Linked DNA regions of Drosophila melanogaster. The gene in region 1 interacts genetically with each later gene. Each region holds a gene or a part of one and is shown on either strand. Other genes may lie near its edges. The genes, in order: MAGE, spn-A, tefu and mei-41.

The links.
Region 2: of MAGE (region 1) and spn-A, changing one suppresses a phenotype caused by changing the other (phenotypic suppression), as found in Drosophila melanogaster (one study listed by BioGRID).
Region 3: of MAGE (region 1) and tefu, changing one enhances a phenotype caused by changing the other (phenotypic enhancement), as found in Drosophila melanogaster (one study listed by BioGRID).
Region 4: of MAGE (region 1) and mei-41, changing one enhances a phenotype caused by changing the other (phenotypic enhancement), as found in Drosophila melanogaster (one study listed by BioGRID).

What each region holds. Positions count from the first base shown.
Region 1 is NT_033777.3:7,153,148-7,157,220, forward strand, and holds MAGE (MAGE), read right to left. Parts: upstream 2,034-4,073; 5' UTR 1,918-2,033; coding exon 1,219-1,917; 3' UTR 1,091-1,218; downstream 1-1,090. Other genes in the region: Sas-4 (spindle assembly abnormal 4), read left to right, coding at 1-105, 157-1,017.
Region 2 is NT_033777.3:30,053,675-30,058,039, reverse strand, and holds spn-A (spindle A), read left to right. Parts: upstream 1-2,002; 5' UTR 2,003-2,100; coding exon 2,101-2,178; exon of another isoform or gene 2,179-2,241; coding exon 2,242-3,174; 3' UTR 3,175-3,344; downstream 3,345-4,365. Other genes in the region: CG7950 (uncharacterized protein), read right to left, coding at 105-581; Rpp14a (ribonuclease P/MRP subunit p14 a), read right to left, coding at 597-900, 1,006-1,037; Rpp14b (ribonuclease P/MRP subunit p14 b), read right to left, coding at 1,485-1,791, 1,873-1,904; Jasper (JIL-1 anchoring and stabilizing protein), read right to left, coding at 3,735-4,365. UniProt on the Drosophila melanogaster protein: Plays an important role in homologous strand exchange, a key step in DNA repair through homologous recombination (HR). Binds to single and double-stranded DNA and exhibits DNA-dependent ATPase activity. Underwinds duplex DNA.
Region 3 is NT_033777.3:15,238,455-15,243,965, reverse strand, and holds the start of tefu (telomere fusion), read left to right. Parts: upstream 1-1,729; 5' UTR 1,730-1,745; intron 1,746-1,803; 5' UTR 1,804-1,822; coding exon 1,823-2,023; intron 2,024-2,081; coding exon 2,082-2,190; intron 2,191-2,241; coding exon 2,242-2,427; intron 2,428-2,485; coding exon 2,486-2,706; intron 2,707-2,762; coding exon 2,763-3,107; intron 3,108-3,168; coding exon 3,169-4,272; intron 4,273-4,326; coding exon 4,327-4,504; intron 4,505-4,561; coding exon 4,562-4,731; intron 4,732-4,782; coding exon 4,783-4,909; intron 4,910-4,966; coding exon 4,967-5,334; intron 5,335-5,391; coding exon 5,392-5,511. UniProt on the Drosophila melanogaster protein: Serine/threonine-protein kinase which recognizes the substrate consensus sequence [ST]-Q. Required to suppress spontaneous apoptosis of proliferating cells during development, and for their proper differentiation. Required for female fertility.
Region 4 is NC_004354.4:16,389,907-16,395,402, reverse strand, and holds the start of mei-41 (meiotic 41), read right to left. Parts: upstream 3,706-5,496; 5' UTR 3,643-3,705; coding exon 3,416-3,642; intron 3,357-3,415; coding exon 1,145-3,356; intron 1,088-1,144; coding exon 794-1,087; intron 720-793; coding exon 1-719. Other genes in the region: TH1, read left to right, coding at 4,049-4,111, 4,228-4,940, 5,011-5,457. UniProt on the Drosophila melanogaster protein: Serine/threonine protein kinase which activates checkpoint signaling upon genotoxic stresses such as ionizing radiation (IR), ultraviolet light (UV), or DNA replication stalling, thereby acting as a DNA damage sensor.

The DNA.
Region 1 (4,073 bases):
GAGAACAAGCGCCTAGAGCAAGAGCTGGTCAAGATTGGCCGCGAAAACAACAGCAAGATGCTGCAGGAGATCAATCGAAACATAGCCCGGCTTGCCCCCAAAGTGGTAAGTGCATGCTTGTGTGTATATCGTAATGTAACTAATGTCTTCATTTAGTTACCTTCCGCGACAATGTCCGATATCCTCGATGAGAACGGTCGGCGCACCCAATCTCTGGACGGCACTGCTGGTAAGCCTGCCAAGCAGCGAGAGGCGCAAAACCGTCGTCAGAGTAGCGGCAGTGCCCAAGTGAGAAGTCGGAGTCGCTCACTGAGCAGGAATAAGAAAACACCATACGCTCTGGATGAGAGCTACGCCTCTAGTAGTTCTGTGGAATCGGAGGAAGTTCAGCCGCCCGTGACCGCTCCGAAAGCTGCTACCCCCCCACCGGCTGCCAACTCCAGCAGTGACTTTAAGCGGGAGATTACGAATGCGGATGGGAGCAAGGACATTTGGTACCCAAACGGCAATCTAAAAAAGATAAGCGCCGATGGCATGAACTTGCGCATGCTCTATTTCAACAAGGATATCAAGGAAACTAACATCAGGGAAGGCACAGTGAAGTATTACTACGCTGAGACCAACACTTGGCACACCTCCTACCTAGATGGCTTGGAAATACTCGAGTTTCCCAACGGGCAGACGGAACATCGCCGCAAGGATGGCACTGTTGAGATTCACTTTCCCAACAACAGCATTAAGATTGTGGATCCCAGCGATACGGAGAAACTGGAGGAGTGGCGTTATGCGGATGGAACCCATCTAGTGCAGCTCCGGAATGGTGACAAGATTCTCAATCTGCCCAATGGCCAAAAGGAGATTCACACCAAACTAAACAAGCGAAGGGAGTATCCGGACGGCACTGTGAAGCTAGTGTATCCGGATGGCAGCCAAGAGACGCGCTACTCCAACGGCCGCGTTCGTTTGAAGGACAAGGATGGCAAGCTCATAATGGACACAGACTATGCCAAGTATTAGAGTCGGGTCTCTGCTTCCGTTGTTAAGTAAATTAACTTAAGTTTTAGATAAATAGAAAAGACGTGCTATTTTTAAAAGATCATCGTAATATTCTTTTCTTGCTGATAAATGGGAAATTGGCTCTATTTTAGATTATTATATATATTGTTTGGTTTTCAATTTGTTAGATCAAATGTAGTAAATTATTCATAGAATGGTATTCTACTCCGCGTTTACTCCTTCTTGGGCCATGGAGAGGTGATGGCCGAAGACCTTGGGATGCTGATTGAGCAGCTTGGAGGCGAATTGCACCATTTGCTCGAATGTGAACTCCGCCTTGGCACGTGGTCCCCAAAGGAAGAAAGTCTTGGAATCATCGTAAGCACTTAGCTGTGAGCGTTCCCGCTTCAGATATTGTTGCTTCACAAACGTCTCCTCGATCTGTTTGCGCAGATTGGGGCCGAAGTAGCCATGTTCTTCGTCTGGATAGATGTTGAGCATCTCCAGCATAACGTACAGTTTCGAGTCCTCGATGCGGTTGCCGCGCAGGAAGATGTACATGAGAATAATATACAGCAGCGTGAACTGCGGCCGTTGAGCCGGCGTCAGCTCGTGAATGGAGGCCACCGGCTCCTCCGCAGTGCAGATGAACGTCTTGGTGGTCGCGTCCAGTGGGGTTAGTATTATACCGAATGTTTCGGCCAGCAGATTAGTGACCAGCGGCAGGCGTTTCTTCAGTTCGCTCTTGTCCCCAGCCACCGCTATCAAATCCTTGTCCTTTATGGGAATCTTCTGGGCGGTATGATCAAGGATGTAGTTTAGAATGGCGCGAACCTTGGCGTCGACCACATCGACGGGTTGTTGCGCTTCCTGCGAGGGGATGGCATTCTGGCTCCTAGCTGCGCGAGAAGTGCTAGCCATTTCGAGTTAATTTGATTAACAAGCTCCCAATTTATCAAATTTATTTGATTATTTAAAATGCAACTCAACAAGAATGCAGCGAACATATGTTTTTTTTCGCACTTTTGAAAGTGTACAAGCCTGGCGTTGCCAGATCAGAGTTAAAAAACGAGACCTGTTTTCAGTATTAAAATACCAAATGGGCGCGCAAATTATATTAATTCAAAATCATTACTCTGACAATAAAATCTTCGAACCCTTATTATGGTCTTTACCAATCCTTTTCTCTCGCATCCTTTTTCACTTGGTTGCCTATTATATGCACTTTCAAGTGCAAATGGCCACTCATTGGTCTCGTTTGAACGCACAAACTGGGCCAAGAGCCGCTGAAGTACCTACTCTTGTGGGTTTGTATTGATTGATTTCCTTTTGCTGCCGCCTTTTTCCTCTGTTACATTTAACAATCAGTATGAAATTTGCGCTGCAGCGAAACGTTTGCTAAATAAATATCATTCGAGCATTTATCGAGCAGCTAAGCAGTGGGTAACGCACTTTGCATAAAAATTGCCATAGCAGCCTCAGGAGGTGATGTGTTTTTAATTAAAATGGCCAAAACGACGCGACGTGCAGCAGCAGGAAGCAAACAACTTTCAAAACTAAACGCGAATGACATGCACGGTCAACATTCCCCACGGAGACTCAAAATAAACAGAGACCGAGTCAAACAAAACGAAATGGAAATGGAAATGCATTTCGCGCAGCAGACACACGCGCCGAAGTGCACTTCCAGACGCTGCAGAATTACATGGCCAAACATATTTTATTGCCTTGAAATGTGTGTTTTAGGTGGCGATGGCGGTGGCTGTATCTCTGCGGTGAAAACTAGTTACCTGCGTCTGCGCAAAGTGCGCGATCCATAAGTGATAAATGTACAGGCGGAAGGCAGACAAAAGTTGCCTGGCCAGGCGGCAAGCTTTAATTGATTCGCCATTGTTCCGGCTTGAACAAAAGCAGAATATCGGAGTTCAGATTGTTAAAGACAGCCTTTGTGGCCGCCTGAAATGGATATCCGCCGCGTTCTGCAATTGATTCTGCTTGACCAGTGACTGTAATAGCACCGAAATTTGCATCCCAGCAAGTGAAATTACTCAAGATTGTAAATCTCGCAAAACGGCGGCTGAGTGAGTCAACAAAACGCACTGTCAACGCGAAGCGTTAGACTTTCTACACACAAGCAAACAGTTTTGCTTTCAAAATGCGCATTGTAACGTTGGAGTTTGTCAACTCCAGCCCTAAAGTTTTTTTATGGCCGGCTAATTGTAGCCAGACGGTGTTGGAGAAATGTCTCATTTACTAAAAAGAAAGTCAAGGTCTTTGCTGAGCGACGTGAGCGGCAAACTTGCTATGCAGCCTGGCTTTTAAAGGCCATTAAAAATTAGCAAATGACATGAGCATGCCATTTAGAATTTTCATGATAAACAAAATCCCATGACCAGCCAATAGAGTAACGACAACGGGTTTCGCAGCTCACCGCGGTGGCAAAAACTATTAATAAATTAATAACAGAATCACAAGAGGCAGCAGACAAAAAATGTGTGCACAAAAAAGAAAGCCAATATTGGAATGAGGAATGTGTGGAGTTTAATGCTCTATATGATCGGGATTAATTGTTTTTAAGTGGCTTGCTCTTTGAGATTTATCATTTCGAATATCTTAAGGAGCTAAAAGTTTTTTATTGCGAAAATAATATGAATGAAAATAAAAAGTGAAAAATGAATAAATAATATTACATTTAAAATTCAGAAAAATGGAAGGCACCATTAAATGGAAATTACGCTAATATAAATACATCTTTTGATATTCTTAAAGTTGTATTTTAAAAAAATGTGTTGCAAACATTCAAATTAGTCTTTCGTTTTGATAAGAAAAACGCTGATAAATGGCATAGTTTCGCAAACATAAATCTCTTATCTTGTAGTTTTTTAAAGATTCCTTCTTTTCATGTTCCCAGCTTCTCTGGCTAAAAATATTTTAATTTATTCTTCAGCAAATCGAATGTTTTATTTCCCTATACAAGTATATAAGTTTGTTCTTACAACCTCTTTCAGTGAGCAGATAACCCCGTTTCGGTCGCAATGGAATGGAATCGAGAATATAGAAACAATAGCCGGCTGTTG
Region 2 (4,365 bases), about 23 Mb from region 1:
GTTTCCCAGTCACGATCGATAGTGTGGGGATGGATTGAAGTTAATGACAAGTTTTATTTATTTTGTACGAAGTCACACCTAGCTCTTATCTTATGTACTCCCACCTAAGCCTTGGGCACCACTGAACTGCTATTGGGGGACACCAGCTCATCGCCGCCTCCGTTGTTGCCCACATCCGCCAGCGGATCCGCGTTCTGGCCACCAACTGAACCGGCATCCGTGTCCAAGGCCTCGCTCAAGCCATCATCGTCGTCGTCATCACCGCCAGATTTGTTGTACACGGTGGGGTACTTCTGGAAACAGTCGCGCATCTTGGTGAAGGCATCGTAGCAGTCCGATCCCTTGGGATCGGCGGTGCTGTTCTGGAAGCAGGAAAATGCCTCACGGAAATCGACGCCACAGGGACCGGTGGCCATGCCGCCGAGGCAGGGACAACTCCAGTTGATCTTGCCGTCCTTGGTGATCACGCCCTCCGGCTTTTCCGGCGGCGGCAGCTCGATGGTGCTGGGCGTGGCATGGTCCTCCTTGGTCACAAAAATCACCTTGTCCTTGCCGTACTCCTTGCAGTAAGAGAATGACATCCTGATGCGGTAATGCTAGTTAAATGCTACAAACTCCTCGGGGGATTCCTCAAAATCCAAGGGCTTTCGGGATGTGCTGAGCACCTGAAAATGGCAGGGCACCTCCTGGTAGTATCCTATTAGGGCTATAGCTACGCGAACGCGATCCAGGACGTTCTCGGGCACCCGGAGAATGGAGCGTTTTTGGCTGGAACTAAATTTCACAATTTCCAGTATGGTCTGGCCACCTATTTCGCCAAAAATACTAGCCAAGGAGCTATGGATGCAGCCACAGAAGAATACGGGCGTCAGAGTCACGGAGTCTGGATCACGGAGTTTTCTGGCGATTAAAAACGTGAATTATCTTAATTATATTTGCATGATGCACGTGCGCACGTGGGAAATACGGGGCTTTAAGGAGCGGGGCTGAGTGCCCGGAACTCACATCTTCACGTCCAGATATTGGTAACCACTCATGCTTTGGGTGCAAGTGCCAGTGCCCCTCTTTTTTTGGCGGAATCTTCGGGAAAAGTCGTCCAAAAGTTGCCGGTCAGTGTGTTTTTTTTATGTAATTACTCCCCTTTTTTGCTGTTTCTTTCTGCTTCTCAAACAGCTGTGCGCCGCCAGAGATGCCAGCTCGGCTCACAACGGACATGAGTAGTTATAAAATAGCTAAAATTATAGCCATTTATTAAAACATTTAAATTGTTATTGGAACTACTTAAATGCAATTTTATTAAAATGGTTACAAGTTTATGGGGTTTTTCCGCTTTTTAATCTCATTTAGTAGCCATCACAGAAATCATTTCAGTTCGTTGTGAATGACAAAAAAATCAGATCACAGTAAAATCAGTTAGGATTCAAATTCAAATTCTTCATGACGGTTATAATGTATATTACACTGAGTATTACAATTCGCTAGTCCTAATCATCGGACACAACCGCGACAGTCTTTTCAATGCTCTTCTCAAAGTCCAGCGATGATTTGGATGTTTCCAAGATCTCAAAATGACAGGGTATCTGCTGGTAGTGACCGATGAGCTCAATGGATATGCGGGTCATGTCGTGCAGTTGCTCTGGCACTCGAAAGATAACACGATGTTGCTGGGCGCAGAACTTCACGATCTCCAGTGTGGGTTTCTCCTCGCAGAAGAAACTGTCCAGGGCGTCAAGAACGCAGCTTCGAAACAGAGATGGGGTCAAAGCAACTGCAGTCGGATCCCGAAGTTTACTATTAAATAAATGAATATATTTACTGAATTTAATAACAACCAAGTTTATATTAATGACCGCAGAACATCATTCTACTCACAGTTTGATGTCGAAATAGTAATAGTTCGCCATGGTGATCTTGCGCGTTCCTTTTAAGCGGGATCCTCTGTAGTGATAGAGTTTTGTGCGTTCGGGGCGATTGGCAAACTGATTTTGCAGTGAATTGCGCGCCGCGCAGTCTTTGTCGAAATTCTCTCACGCAAGACGTGCAATTTAAATAACGAAACTCGAAACAACAAATAGTCAAATTTAACTTCGAAACTGTCAAATGGAGAAGCTAACGAATGTTCAGGCACAGCAGGAAGAGGAGGAGGAAGAAGGTCCACTCAGCGTGACTAAGTTAATAGTGAGTAGGCTGCGATCTCGACCAGGATTATTATGGGCATTCCCTACGATATCCTCCTCCTAGGGCGGCAGCATCACGGCCAAGGACATCAAGCTGCTCCAGCAGGCCAGTCTGCACACCGTGGAGTCGGTGGCCAATGCCACCAAGAAGCAACTGATGGCCATTCCCGGCTTGGGCGGCGGCAAGGTGGAGCAGATCATCACGGAGGCTAACAAACTGGTGCCTCTGGGCTTCCTTAGTGCTCGCACCTTCTATCAAATGCGTGCCGATGTCGTGCAGCTGAGCACGGGCTCCAAGGAGCTGGATAAACTGCTGGGCGGCGGCATTGAGACGGGATCCATTACCGAGATCTTTGGCGAGTTCCGCTGCGGAAAGACCCAATTGTGCCACACTCTGGCAGTAACCTGCCAGCTGCCCATCAGCCAGAAGGGCGGCGAGGGCAAGTGCATGTACATCGACACGGAGAACACCTTCCGTCCGGAGCGTTTGGCTGCCATCGCGCAAAGGTACAAACTGAATGAATCCGAGGTGCTGGACAATGTGGCCTTCACCCGTGCCCACAACTCAGATCAGCAGACCAAGCTCATCCAGATGGCGGCGGGCATGCTCTTTGAGTCCAGATACGCTTTGCTGATTGTGGACAGTGCCATGGCGCTCTACAGATCCGATTATATTGGTCGCGGGGAGCTGGCCGCCAGGCAAAACCATTTGGGCTTATTTCTGCGCATGCTTCAACGCCTGGCCGATGAGTTCGGAGTGGCTGTGGTAATTACTAACCAGGTTACTGCCTCGCTGGACGGCGCACCCGGCATGTTTGATGCCAAGAAGCCCATTGGCGGGCACATCATGGCCCACTCCTCAACCACGCGGCTGTATCTGCGCAAGGGTAAAGGCGAAACCCGCATCTGCAAGATCTACGACTCGCCCTGTTTGCCGGAATCGGAGGCCATGTTCGCCATTCTGCCGGATGGAATAGGAGACGCCAGGGAGAGCTAATTGTGCTCACTTATAGGTTAATTAATGCTAGGAATAGAGCTCCCTAACTTTCTAATGATTACTTATCCCTAGACTAAGAATTAAACTTCGTAGATTGTTTTTTTTTTTGTTTTAATGTTTACTTAGAATGTTTAGGATAACGACGAAATAAAACAGCCGTTGCGAATTGTATGTACCATCTATATTTAATTCAATATTATTCAAATCATCTACAAACTTAGAAAATATTTAGGGGTTTCGAAGCAAAAACCTTTTTTTTAGTCTGGTAATAAGCGGATGCAGCAGGAAAAGCCCCATCAGCGCAGCGTAACACGACATGCACCTGGCAGGCAAACAGAATTAAGGAATTTAGCTGAATTTTTAACCTAGAATTAAGCATAGCCCACTTGGCTCATCAAAACTTTGTCATCCAAAGCACGGTCTTTAAGTTGCCTGGTTTGTAACGCTTACGAGTAACTGCAAGAAAGAGGATTCTTGAAGATGTGTTTCAACTCAGCGGTTTGCGGTTTCCCATCCTACCTTATCATGTAATTGGTCCAGCAGAACTGGTCCTCGATCATTTACTGTGGAGCCGATCCGGCTGAAGCGGCGGCCTCCTTGGCCAAAACCAGGCTATTATATCCGCGCTCGTTCATCCCGACGCGAAGGTTTTCGTTGATATTTTTCGTATAGGTCTTGTAGATTTTTACCTTTTCGCAGAAGTCGATCCAAAAGTTGTCCTCGCTCTCGGGCTCCGGATTGAAGAGACTCTTGAAGCCATCGTATATGCCAGAGGAGACCTTGCGTATGGTCTGCGCCCTCTCCTTGAACTCCACCTCGTCGGACAGGTCCATTTTCCAGAGCTCCAGATTGCCCACATACCGGCGAAGTCGGCGCATTATGTCCACGCACTCCGGATTGCGCAGCAGCATCAACTTGGTGAACTCCACCTCCTTGAACTGCTCGAGGATCTCCAGGCATTTGCCCACATTGGCGCGCCGCAGGCCCAAACATTCGCGCAGCTGCTGGGAAAGTTGGATGAAGTCTCGCTCCATGAAGAGGGCATCCTCGTGCTCAATGAGCTCCTCGATGAATCGCAAAGCCTCCTGCTTGGGTATTTCGCTGCGTGTTGGCTCCACCACGATCCTATCGGGCATGGACTCCGGATTGATTTGGCCGCTCTCTAGTTTCAGTTTGAGCTCCAAGGCTTCT
Region 3 (5,511 bases), 8.1 Mb from region 1:
CATGTTTATCTAAAACGGCTTGCCAAAATCGGCGAATCACGAACGGTGACTAATGCCAACCGATTCATGAAAATGGCAAGATCAATGCTGGATCGATGAGAATTATAAATGGCGACCGAGCAGCTGCCACCTTTTTCTGCAAAGTGCGCAAAAAAGAGAAGAAACCGCATGGACAAAGGCGAAAATTCTGGAATGCTAAAAACGCAAACACACGCGCCCTCACAAGCACACACACACATGCATATACTTAAATATATGTAAACCACGCTGCTGAAGCCAGGTCATTTTGGAGGGTGATTCGTATGTGCGAGCGAGGGAGACAACCACTGTGTCCGGGACGGCTTTGCGTGTGTTGGTTTTACCCGCTCACAAACACACGTGCCCGCACTTTGAATGCCGGTTGGCAACGTGTTTTTTTTTAGCTAAGTATATTTAATAAAAGGCCGCATAATGTATAAATTTATGAATGTTAGTTCTATTTATAAACAATGTTTATATGCCTTGACTGTATGTAAGGGAATCCAACATGTTTCTATAGCAGTATAGCATTAAAATTAAATGATCAGACATGCACGCATTTTTGTGTGGTTGTGTGGGGGGGGGGGAAGCCTCACATTTTTCCCAAGCTGGAATATTCCAGCAAAAGAGCAATGGCACTCAAAATAAATTACCAATTACGATGAGTAACTTGGACATTGATTTATTGGAAACAGAAACAATAAAAATCACAAGCAATGTCAAGACCCCGCAACGGATGACGCAAGTTTTCTCTCACACATACTCACTCAACCGAAAGTAGACTGTGACTGCAGTGAGTGGGAAGCGGCACGTTTTCCAGTGGAATATTCCAGATAATCACAATCAAGCATTAGGCATCAATATGCAATTAGTCAGAACTTCCAAAGTTTCTAGAATCTTAATTTGCCTAATTAATAGGCGCTCTATGATGCACCTTTGCAATTATGTATGTAAGTGTGCATCGAAGCGTTACTCACTGGGGTCGAAAGTTCGAGAAACCTTGCCTTCTTTGAGAGTATTGATTAAATAGTAAAGGGGCTACAAAAAACACGTGGTTTGATTTCAAATTATTTTCCGGCAAACTTAATCGAGGTGGTCGCACTTTTTTTAACAACGAAATAAATACTAAAATGTAAATAAACGCTTACCTTGTGTGTTGTTTCTTAGAAAGTACTAAAATATAACCGTTTAATTGCTACTTCACTTTTAATCTGCCGCACCTTCGATCAAACTGGCTGGCGTTTTTTTCTGAATTACACCCGTACAAAATTTGCGAATGCCTTTTATATACAAGCAAAAGTGTTACCAAAGCCATCAACAATTTTAGTACTAAATTCCCAGGGGTGTAACCGCAAAATTCTTGGCCACCCTAATAAGCGCTTCACACAGAAGTCCAGAAATGTTGACGCAGAACGTTCACACCGAAACTGTAAAGTCGTAGAAATTGGCTAATATGTAGTAGAAGCGCTGAACGTAGCTTGTTACTTTAAAAACCACATTTCCTATTCCTTTCTTAATGAATATAATTCATAATATAGGAATAATTAATGAAGGAACAGTGGAATATGGAACATGGGATTTTTTTATTTATAAATCTTTCGTTATATAAGGTTATTCTAGTTCTCCATCGGCACTTATTTGACGCACACGGCTGCCCAGCCATTTAACAACAGTGCTGTTCTTATTGATCGTGGTATTTTTTGGCGCTCTGGCAGAGGTCACTCTAAGTACATTTTGAGAGATCATTTTATGTTTAGTTTAATAATTAATACAACATTACAACAGGTTATGCCGGGCAGCCAGGATGAGTGCACTTCTAAACGAAATCCAGCGGATACTCGGGGACCTTCAGTCGGGGAAGGCAGCCAGCCGAAACAAGGGCATCCAACAGCTGGATGAAAAGCTCTCAAGTTGCCGAGAGGATCTGGATAAGTTGTTTCTTAGCAAAACTTCGGATATATCCTGGACCACAATCTTTGAAGCGTCGAAGGAGGCTCTCTTTAAGGTTCCTAGCCATTATCGTTAAACAATCAGTTCCATTTTAATTGTTAACCTAATGATAGCAAGCTGGAAATCTGGAGGATGTCAACGAGAAAGTATTCAAAACGCTGGCGGGAAAAAACTACTTGTACGATAATGTCCTCGAGAAGATCACACAATTCAACTTGGAAGGTAACTCCTAAACACTTAAACACGTTATTAAAGCTAACCTGTGATTTCCAGCGGGGTCGCAGACCTCCGGAAATGGGCATTTCCTGGCCAAAACAAGCATATTTAGTGCATTCGAGGATGGCATCAAGATGCGAGTGGTAGTCAAGTATTTTGGCGACCGCATTCTGAGCCTGCTGGAAAAGGGCATTTACTCATCGGTCAGCTATGTGCGCGACCTTAAAATTAACGAATACAGTAGTAAGTTACTTTCTGGCCCAAAAGAGACTCTTTTTTTTAATTTGATGATGTATTACAGGGATTCTCTCCTATCTTTTTGAACTGAATGTCGATATGGACGAGGTCTTGCGAACCAGAATACTGAAATGCATCACAAGAACCGTCAGTTTGGCCAAGGACCGGGTTCAGCTGCACGTGGATCTAGTGGAATATCTGCCGGAGCTCAGCAGCTTTGCGCTCTCCGCTTTTGGAGCCAGAAAAACTGAGATTGTTCGCGTCTACTTAATATTTGCATCAGAGGTAGGACTCTTATTATATCTTTAGATAATGTTAAAAACTTTGCAACAATCTTTCAGCTTGCTGTCAACTACAATCACCAATTGAACGTGCACATGCAGGAGATTCTACCTAAACTATGCGAGTATCATGACGAGGATGCGTTCCGGGACGACACCAGAAATCTGTTCTTTCAGTGCGTTTCAAAGTCGCTCCATTCAATGTATCTCAAAATGGATATGTGTGACTTTAATACACTCGGTGTGCCTGTTCATGAAAAGTGGCCGCAAACTTTACTGCGGCTGAAAACTATTGTCAATGTGGAGATCCGAAAGAATTCCTGGGCTCGCTGCAAGAACGCACTACTGAGCAATAATAAATTTTCTGACCCCTTCATCAAGATGTCTGCCCTGGCTATGTATATAGTACGTCGCATAAGCTAGTAATATTTAATATATTTAATTTTAATTATATTATTATTTGCAGGTGCTTTGGCACTTGGAGACGAAAAAGGCTGATGAAAATGGGGAAGGCGATGCGCCGAAAAAGATCCCGAAGCCTGCAGATAAAATGGAAACTATATTTAGTCTGATCGACAAAAAGGAAAACACCTTTAACGACGTCTGGCTTGCGATATTCACTGAGATACTTCAGCTGAGTAGCGTGATCCTAAATGTGGCCAACTACCAAATGGCGCTAACCACCGTGGCGGAAATAATGCAAATGTACGGCAATGCGAAAAATCTCCGGAACCTTCGGTTATGCCTGGCTCATCTTTTGACTAAAGAACAGGAGCTTTTGCACTCTAAATCTATTCGGGAGGATTTTCTGGGTGAGCTTTGGAGTCAAATGGCAAACCAGCTCATATCAGAGACAACAACAAACAGTGAGGAGATCAAGGAGAAGCAATTGGTGCTGCAGATGCTGATCAGACACAATAAACTAAATCAAAAGTTGTCCAGCACGCTGCTTAACAATATTATCTCGAATGAAATGCTAAAGCGCAACGAATGCTTAGCGACGATTCGAGAGATCTTCATCCATGCTGATAAATGTGGTCAAGATAAGGCGTCCGCTGACTTAGAACCCATCATAGCTTGGGCATACGGAAGTGCGGATAGATTCATCGCCGCTCAGATGATACACAATATAGACAGTATTGATGCCCAGTTGCAGGCGGATACTTTTGCAATCAGCATTATAAATTTTTTGGATGTCCAGCAATTGCGACAGATCTCTCAATCAGAACACATTGTTCCTTCCACCGAACGCAATCTTTTGGCCTACAAGTACAACGAACAGCTTATTTGCTTTGACAAGGACTACGCCACTCCTTTTGAGTCAATCACTCACATTCAGAGCGAAACAAAGAATTGTTTGATTCAATCCAATTATGATTGCCTAATGCGAGGCCTTAACTTTGAGATCGCGAAGGAGAACAAACCGGCGGCAATAATAAAAAACCTGAATAGTCTATTAAAGTTGATCTGCACAATGGAAAGGCTTTTGCATTACAAGGTTTTCGATGCAGATACCTATACTGGCTGTCCACTTATAAAAAGAATTGGACTATATCTCAGCCACATTGAGGTGGGTGCCAAATGAATAATCTTTCAAAAACTCGTTTTCTAATACCCATTTCAGTTCCAGCTCAAGGCGAACGGAGCTGAGATTTTAGATAAGAGCGATTTACCAGAGATTTTACGTCTGGAAATCTATGTACTTGATGTATTCAGGACGAATTTAGTCTTACTCGATTATTTGGAAAGGCAACCCATTGAAATGTTGGTGGAATTTGTTGGCGCTGCTCTCAAGTTGCATTGTAATGTAGTTTTCAATTAACGTATCGCTTTAATAATTGAAGAGTGGAATATTTTAGCCATGCAGAGGGAGCGATCTGTAGATGCAGATCATGGAACAATAACGCGTCTGTGCCTTAATATTTTGGCTGGTCTTTGTGCGTACAATTCGCACCGGGATGAAGCATTCGAGCACATAGTAAAGGTAACGATGCGTTGGCATCCACAGGATGTGCTTATTGTGACCAAGGTAGGAGTTATATCGTAACCAAAACAGAAATAATTTTGAAATCTCTTTAAGATGTTATGCAGCTGCCAAACGATTTCTGAAGCATCCAGCTCTTGGTTAGTGAGCAAATTGAAGACGCTTTTCCAGCAGCATCATCAGGATGCGGAATTGATGGACAAAGTGGTTCAACATATGCCCAGTGAGCTTATATATAATAGAACAATAAACACAGTGCAATCAATTCATTTCATTGCAGCCATTTTTTACTTCGTAAGGCACAAAGAAAATCATTTGGACGACATGCTTATGGCCCTTAATTCCCTTTTAAGGATTGCCATTAAGAAGTCGTACACATCGAATTTAACAGCGAAAATTGTACGCTGCGTGGGATTGATTGCTCAGCGTTGTCCGGACATTTACCTTCTAGAGAACTTTGCTGTGATATGCAAGTCCACTGCGAAATTCATCACCATGCCCACGTTAGAAGTGCGCTTTGCCACACTCTTCACATTCACCATCCTGCTGGAATCGAATTGCGTCACTAGCGATGCCATTGGTCATTCTCGGACGCACTGGGACTTCTGCCAGGAGCTGTACGAGAGCATTGAGTTTAAGAAACTGACGGTAAGCATTCGGAAGTCTGGATGCCTAGCTATACTTTAATGGCTATTTCTTATTTAGTACAACAACGAGGATGCCATTCAAAACAGCAATGCGTTAATCGTACAAATGTTAATTGCAATATTCTTGCGCAGCTCATTCCACCAAGAGATAGCACTGAAGGAGCTGCTGCATCATTGT
Region 4 (5,496 bases), on another chromosome or scaffold:
TAGACGCGTACCTGGAGACATTCATCGGTTATGTGCTTTTGCAGGAAACGCAACTGGTCGACCAATGGTGGCGATTGATTCTCCTCCTCCGCCAATCCCTTAAGGTCCAGATGGGCTGTATGCCTTCTGATGCATTTTTGAATCGAAGGCGAAACATTCTCCATGCGATCTAGAAAGTACAGATCTGTTATAAAGGTGCCCAGCATGGAGGCGTTGCGTAGAATTATGAACTCGTACAGATCATTGACCTGCTTAACGCTCTCGTTGTCCGCCAGCAGAGGCTGCAAGGTGGCCACGATTCTTCCCAGAGAGGGTCCCAGCTCCTGCACATTTACAACATGCAGAAATATGTGCCAAATCTTTAGGCAAATTCGCTGGAGACGAGGCTCCTGCAATGTGTGAACGAAACTCAGCATGGCAATGATTTTGAAGCGAAACTGGGTGACATGCTGGGAGCCCACAAATCGCATAATCTGGCCCAAACTGTACAAAGTCTCCTCCTTCAATGGCTTCTCAAAAGACGGTTCACTTAGGCAGCTCTCGAAGTAGGTGATCACACCGAGGAAACGCTCAGCAATGAAATTCGCAAACTCTGCATTCGCCGTTTGACTTGACAACTCCTCCAAGGAACCGATTGATAACTGCAAGAGGCTTTGAAAGGATCGCATCACGAATGTGGGGTTTCGGTTGAAATATATAAGCAACTCGGCCACCGTTTGCTACAAGTGATAACCAAATCAAATAAAATAAAATAAAAGATAAAATAATAAAATATAAATTAACTTCTGCCCACCTTGACATCCGCATTCATTAGCTGTTGCAGGCTGGACTGGGTGCAACTGACCACCAGCTCGATGCAACTATTGGCCAACTCCGGTTCCTCGGTCAGGAAGACGTGTGTGTAGATCCGCAGGAACGAGATGGAGAACAAGGTGCCAATGTGTTTCTGCATTTGTTTGGCTATCAATACCAAAACTCCCTTGCAAAGCGGATTCACGATGCAATGCGGCAGGACCATGGCAGTCAGAAGGCGATGATACTTGCAGGTGAACTCCTGAACGCACGTGAATCCCAACATTTTCGTAAGCTGCAAACAGACCGGTCAAATTTTGGGAAGTGAAGAAAAGTTCGTCTATTTACGCACCGCTCGGAGGGATCGGGTGAAGCGTACGCCATCCAAAAGATAAACGTTCAAAGCCAGGCGAACGGTGAGGTCGAGAGCATCTCGCTTGTACCAGTTCCACAGATGAATCGTCTGCAGACCCTGGCTGGCACACATCTCGGTGGCCGCCAGCACAGCTTCTTGCGCCACCAGTGAGCGAGTGTGCACCAGAAAGAAGAATGTCATTTTGAACCAGTGAAAGAGCCAGATTTCATTATCCTCCATGTGCGCAATGGCGGTCAGTACGTTGAGCATACTTCTTTGCTGCAGCACATTTTGCTCTGTCAGTGGCTTTGCTAGCATTGCTTTTATAGCAGCTAGAACAAGATTGGCTAATTGCTCCAAGAATTCTGGCGAACGCACACGCATCGCAGAGACCAGCTGGCCGATAACCTTAACGCTAACCTTTTGCAGTGCCTCCGTTTCTCTTAGCAGGCCAAGAATCACATTGGGTTCAAAGCACAGAAGGTCCAGATGCTGGGCAATACATTCAAAATCGGGATAAAACAATAAATCATTTGCTATCATTTCGAGGTTGGTGCTTGAAAAGTCTGGACATGGCAGCTGTTGCTTGCATTTTCCGAGGTAAATACCTGGCAGTTTCTTTGGCAGTGGCCTGCATTTCGGGCAGTATAGCTCAATGCGATCTTTGACTTTAAAGACACTCAATTTACCTGGCTGGGAGCAGAGCAATAGGCGTATAACTTGAGCGCGGCCACTACGATTGTTAATGGTGGGCAGAGCTTTCATCAGTTGCTCCGGCTTTATGAAACCCGATATGTACAACTGCGGAAGGTTGCTACAGAATATCTCCTGTGTCTCCTCGGATTGAAATAGCCTCATGTACTGCTGGGCATAGAAGCTTTGCATTTGGGTATGAACACTAGAAGGTGTCTCCAAGCGAATGGCGCAAAGGTAGGACAGCTTCAAATGTCGCTGAAGAATGGCCAGCAGCTGGTGTTGCGTTTGAGTCTTTAAAAAGTGCCGGATGAAGGTGATTTGCATCAAAAGGGAGCAGATTTCCAAGTGTATGTGTCTTCGGTCTGCGGAACACTTTGATTCCAGCTCAACCAGCTGCATTGAAAGGTTATTCCAATTGGTATCCGCAACCTTTATGATTTCACACTGCAGCGGTAACATGGCCAGAACTGAGGAATCGATGTGACCTTCGTGCTCAGCTATTTTATGCTGACTCTGTGACAGAATTAGTTTCTCCAGCTGCTTGAAGCCTCGTAAAATAGCAATCAGTTTCTGCCAATCCTTCGACAATACTTCTTCCTTCTTCAAGATTTCAACGAGACTTTGGGTAAGCACTTGGACCACTCCTGAGCGCATCTCAGTCTGTTTCAAGCCCATTAGCGCCAATATGGGCACCAAATGTGTGGGGTGGCAGTGCCAATGGCTTAACATAAGCTGCTGCAAGTGCACCAGTTGCTCCAATGGTACAACCGAATGCTCTAGCTGGCCTTGAATATAGGAACTTAGGGTCTCCAGCAGTCCATCGTCCAATTCAATGGCTGTCGGCAAACTAAGGATCTCGTTCAAAAGCAGGTAGCCAAGATGGTGGGCTGGACGTGCACGCATATGCAGAACTTCTAGCAGTAGCTTTGTTGTTATATTGAGCCGTTTTAGCTCCTGGCGCGTCATACATCCCATGTCCAGCCACTTGGCTACTGCCGACCACATGATTGCCGTCGCCTCCAACGTTAATTGCGCATAATGTCCAACGTCCGGATTTGTTATCCAGCTGCTGGCCGACTGTGATCGTAGGACATTGTGACAGTAATTCAAGCTGGCCAGTTTTGTGTCCATGTCGCACTCCTTGAGGATTAGCAGAGCCTGATGAAGGCTGCCCGAGAAGATGTCGCCGTGCGTGGCGTATCCAATGTGATGGGCATGCTGGAGGACCTCCAGCAGGCTCTTGGCATACATGTCGGCTTGCTCAAGGGGCACCTTGATGTCCTCGATAGCGCAGTGCGGATCGAACTCCTGCAGGCATTCCACATCGCATCGGAATATTCTTACAGTTATGGCGGGTTTTCGCTCATTACTCAATTGGCCGAGGTCCAGGGAACTTAGCTGAAGGTGCGTCTCCTCAATGGCTTCCACATAGGCCAGTACAAGGCGTTCAAAAAGCTTAGGATGATTGGAACAGCAGGAGCTCAGTATTTTCCTTTGAAGATTGATGCACTCGCTGCAGCAGAAAAACGGTGTGTCATAAGTTTGGAGTCCAATGCTTGTGGCTCATCTTACCTGCTATCTGGAGATTCACTAAGGCACTTGGCCAGCTTGTTGAGCAGCCAGAGTAGGAATGTGTCCTGGAATTTGTTGTGCAGCTCCCGCACCAACGAACAGCTTATCAGACTCGGCTCCTGGCACAATATGTCTTCTATAACGCTGTACACGCCGGAAAAGTTGCTTACGTTCCGGTTTACGTGGTTGTAAAGCAACTTCCACATATCCTTCCGTTGTGTCGACATTTTGCCAAGTTTATTTAAAACTCGCAAAAACGCGACCTTTGTTTACGAAAGCCGGCATTCGCCGCACTTGTGGCTATCGATATGTTTGGCAGCTTCTTCTTCTTTTTCTTGAATAACAGCCACGTTCCAACTGCGATTTTACATATATTAATTTAAAAAAAAATTAGTTAATATATGTTTACATTACCGCGTTTTACACTTATTGACAATTTTCTTTTTCTCCTCAAATTTAAGATTTACATTGCATAATATGAAATTAACAGAAGAGTTTGCTAAGTGTAAACGGCGCATAACCCGCGTAGGTGTGCGCGTCGTGGTTAACAATTTACAGTCACACTAAAAATGCATAGTTAATCAAAATAAGAAAAATATTTTTATGTTATTGTAAATAAGTTTTTGAGAAAAAATGGAAGTGGAATACGACGACTCTGGTTGGCAGGGCCGCGCCAAAGGACAAACCAATCCGGAGGTAATTGAGTATAGAGCGTGTACGGCGTGGCAGGCAATCCCGGCAATTTGATGACGCTACTAGATAAACCATAAAAAATAACAACTAAACATCATGTTATCCCATCCCAATCGAAGGAAACGCTTGAGGACAATCCGCAGAAGACGATACAGGAATGCCTGGAGAAGTTCCTCACACCGGACTACATCATGGAGCCGGGGATATTTACGCAGCTGAAGCGCTACTTTCAGTCGGGCGGATCTCCGGAGGAGGTTATATCGATGCTATCCGAGAACTACAAGGCGGTGGCCCAGATGGCCAACCTGCTTGCGGAATGGCTCATCCTGGCGGGCGTCAAGGTTACCGAAGTCCAGGCCATGGTGGAGAATCATCTCAAGGAAATGATTCTTAAGTCCTTCGATCCCAAGAAGGCGGACACCATATTCACGGAGGAGGGTGAGACGCCCGACTGGCTAACCGAGATGATCGACCACTATACGTGGCGCTCGCTAATCTACCGACTGGCCGAAGAATATCCCGATTGTCTAATGCTGAACTTTACAATCAAGTTGATCTCGGACGCGGGCTTCCAGAGCGAGATCACTTCCATTTCGACAGCGGCACAGCAGATTGAGGTTTTCTCGCGGGTTCTAAAGACCTCGATCGTCAAATTTCTAAACAATCCGGATGATGTGCACGGTGCCATTCAGGAGTGCGCACGAATGGTCTGCCATGGCCAGCACACTTACGTATACTCCCAGGTGCTCATCCAGGTCCTCAGCCAGGAGCAGAAGGGTGGGTTCAACATGAAGCGGCTCTCTCAGGAAATTATTAAATACGCCCTGCAGAAGTATGAAAATAACTGACGATTCCACATAGTTAGTCATAACATAAATCCTTTCTTTTGCTTCATTGTTTAGCAATCAAAATGTAACGCCTATTACAATGGCCCTGAATGGTTCGGCAGTCTATCCGCAAGCATGTCAAGCCCTAACTTCCATGCTCACCCGCAATACACTGAATCCCGCCGATATCACCGTGCTGTTTCGCAACTACTCCGGTTCCGATCCACCGCCCATCGACTTGATACGAAACCCCCAGTTTCTGGAGCTACTGGTAGACGCGCTCTTTCGTTCCGGCGTTAAAATCAATCCCGAGCACAAACCGAAGTATATGTTTCTGCTAGCCTACGCGTCCGCGGTCATCGACCAGCCGGCCAAAAAGCGACCAATGACTGAGCGCATGCTAAACAAGGAGGAGCTAAAGAGCACCATTCAGGCTATCGAAAAGGCACACACCATTTGTAATGTGGACCAGGGATCCACCGAGCTAATCGCCGAGTTGCAAACGCTGTATAATTGCATCAAGTAAGGCGACCGATGTATATCAAAAAATTATTGGTTTCC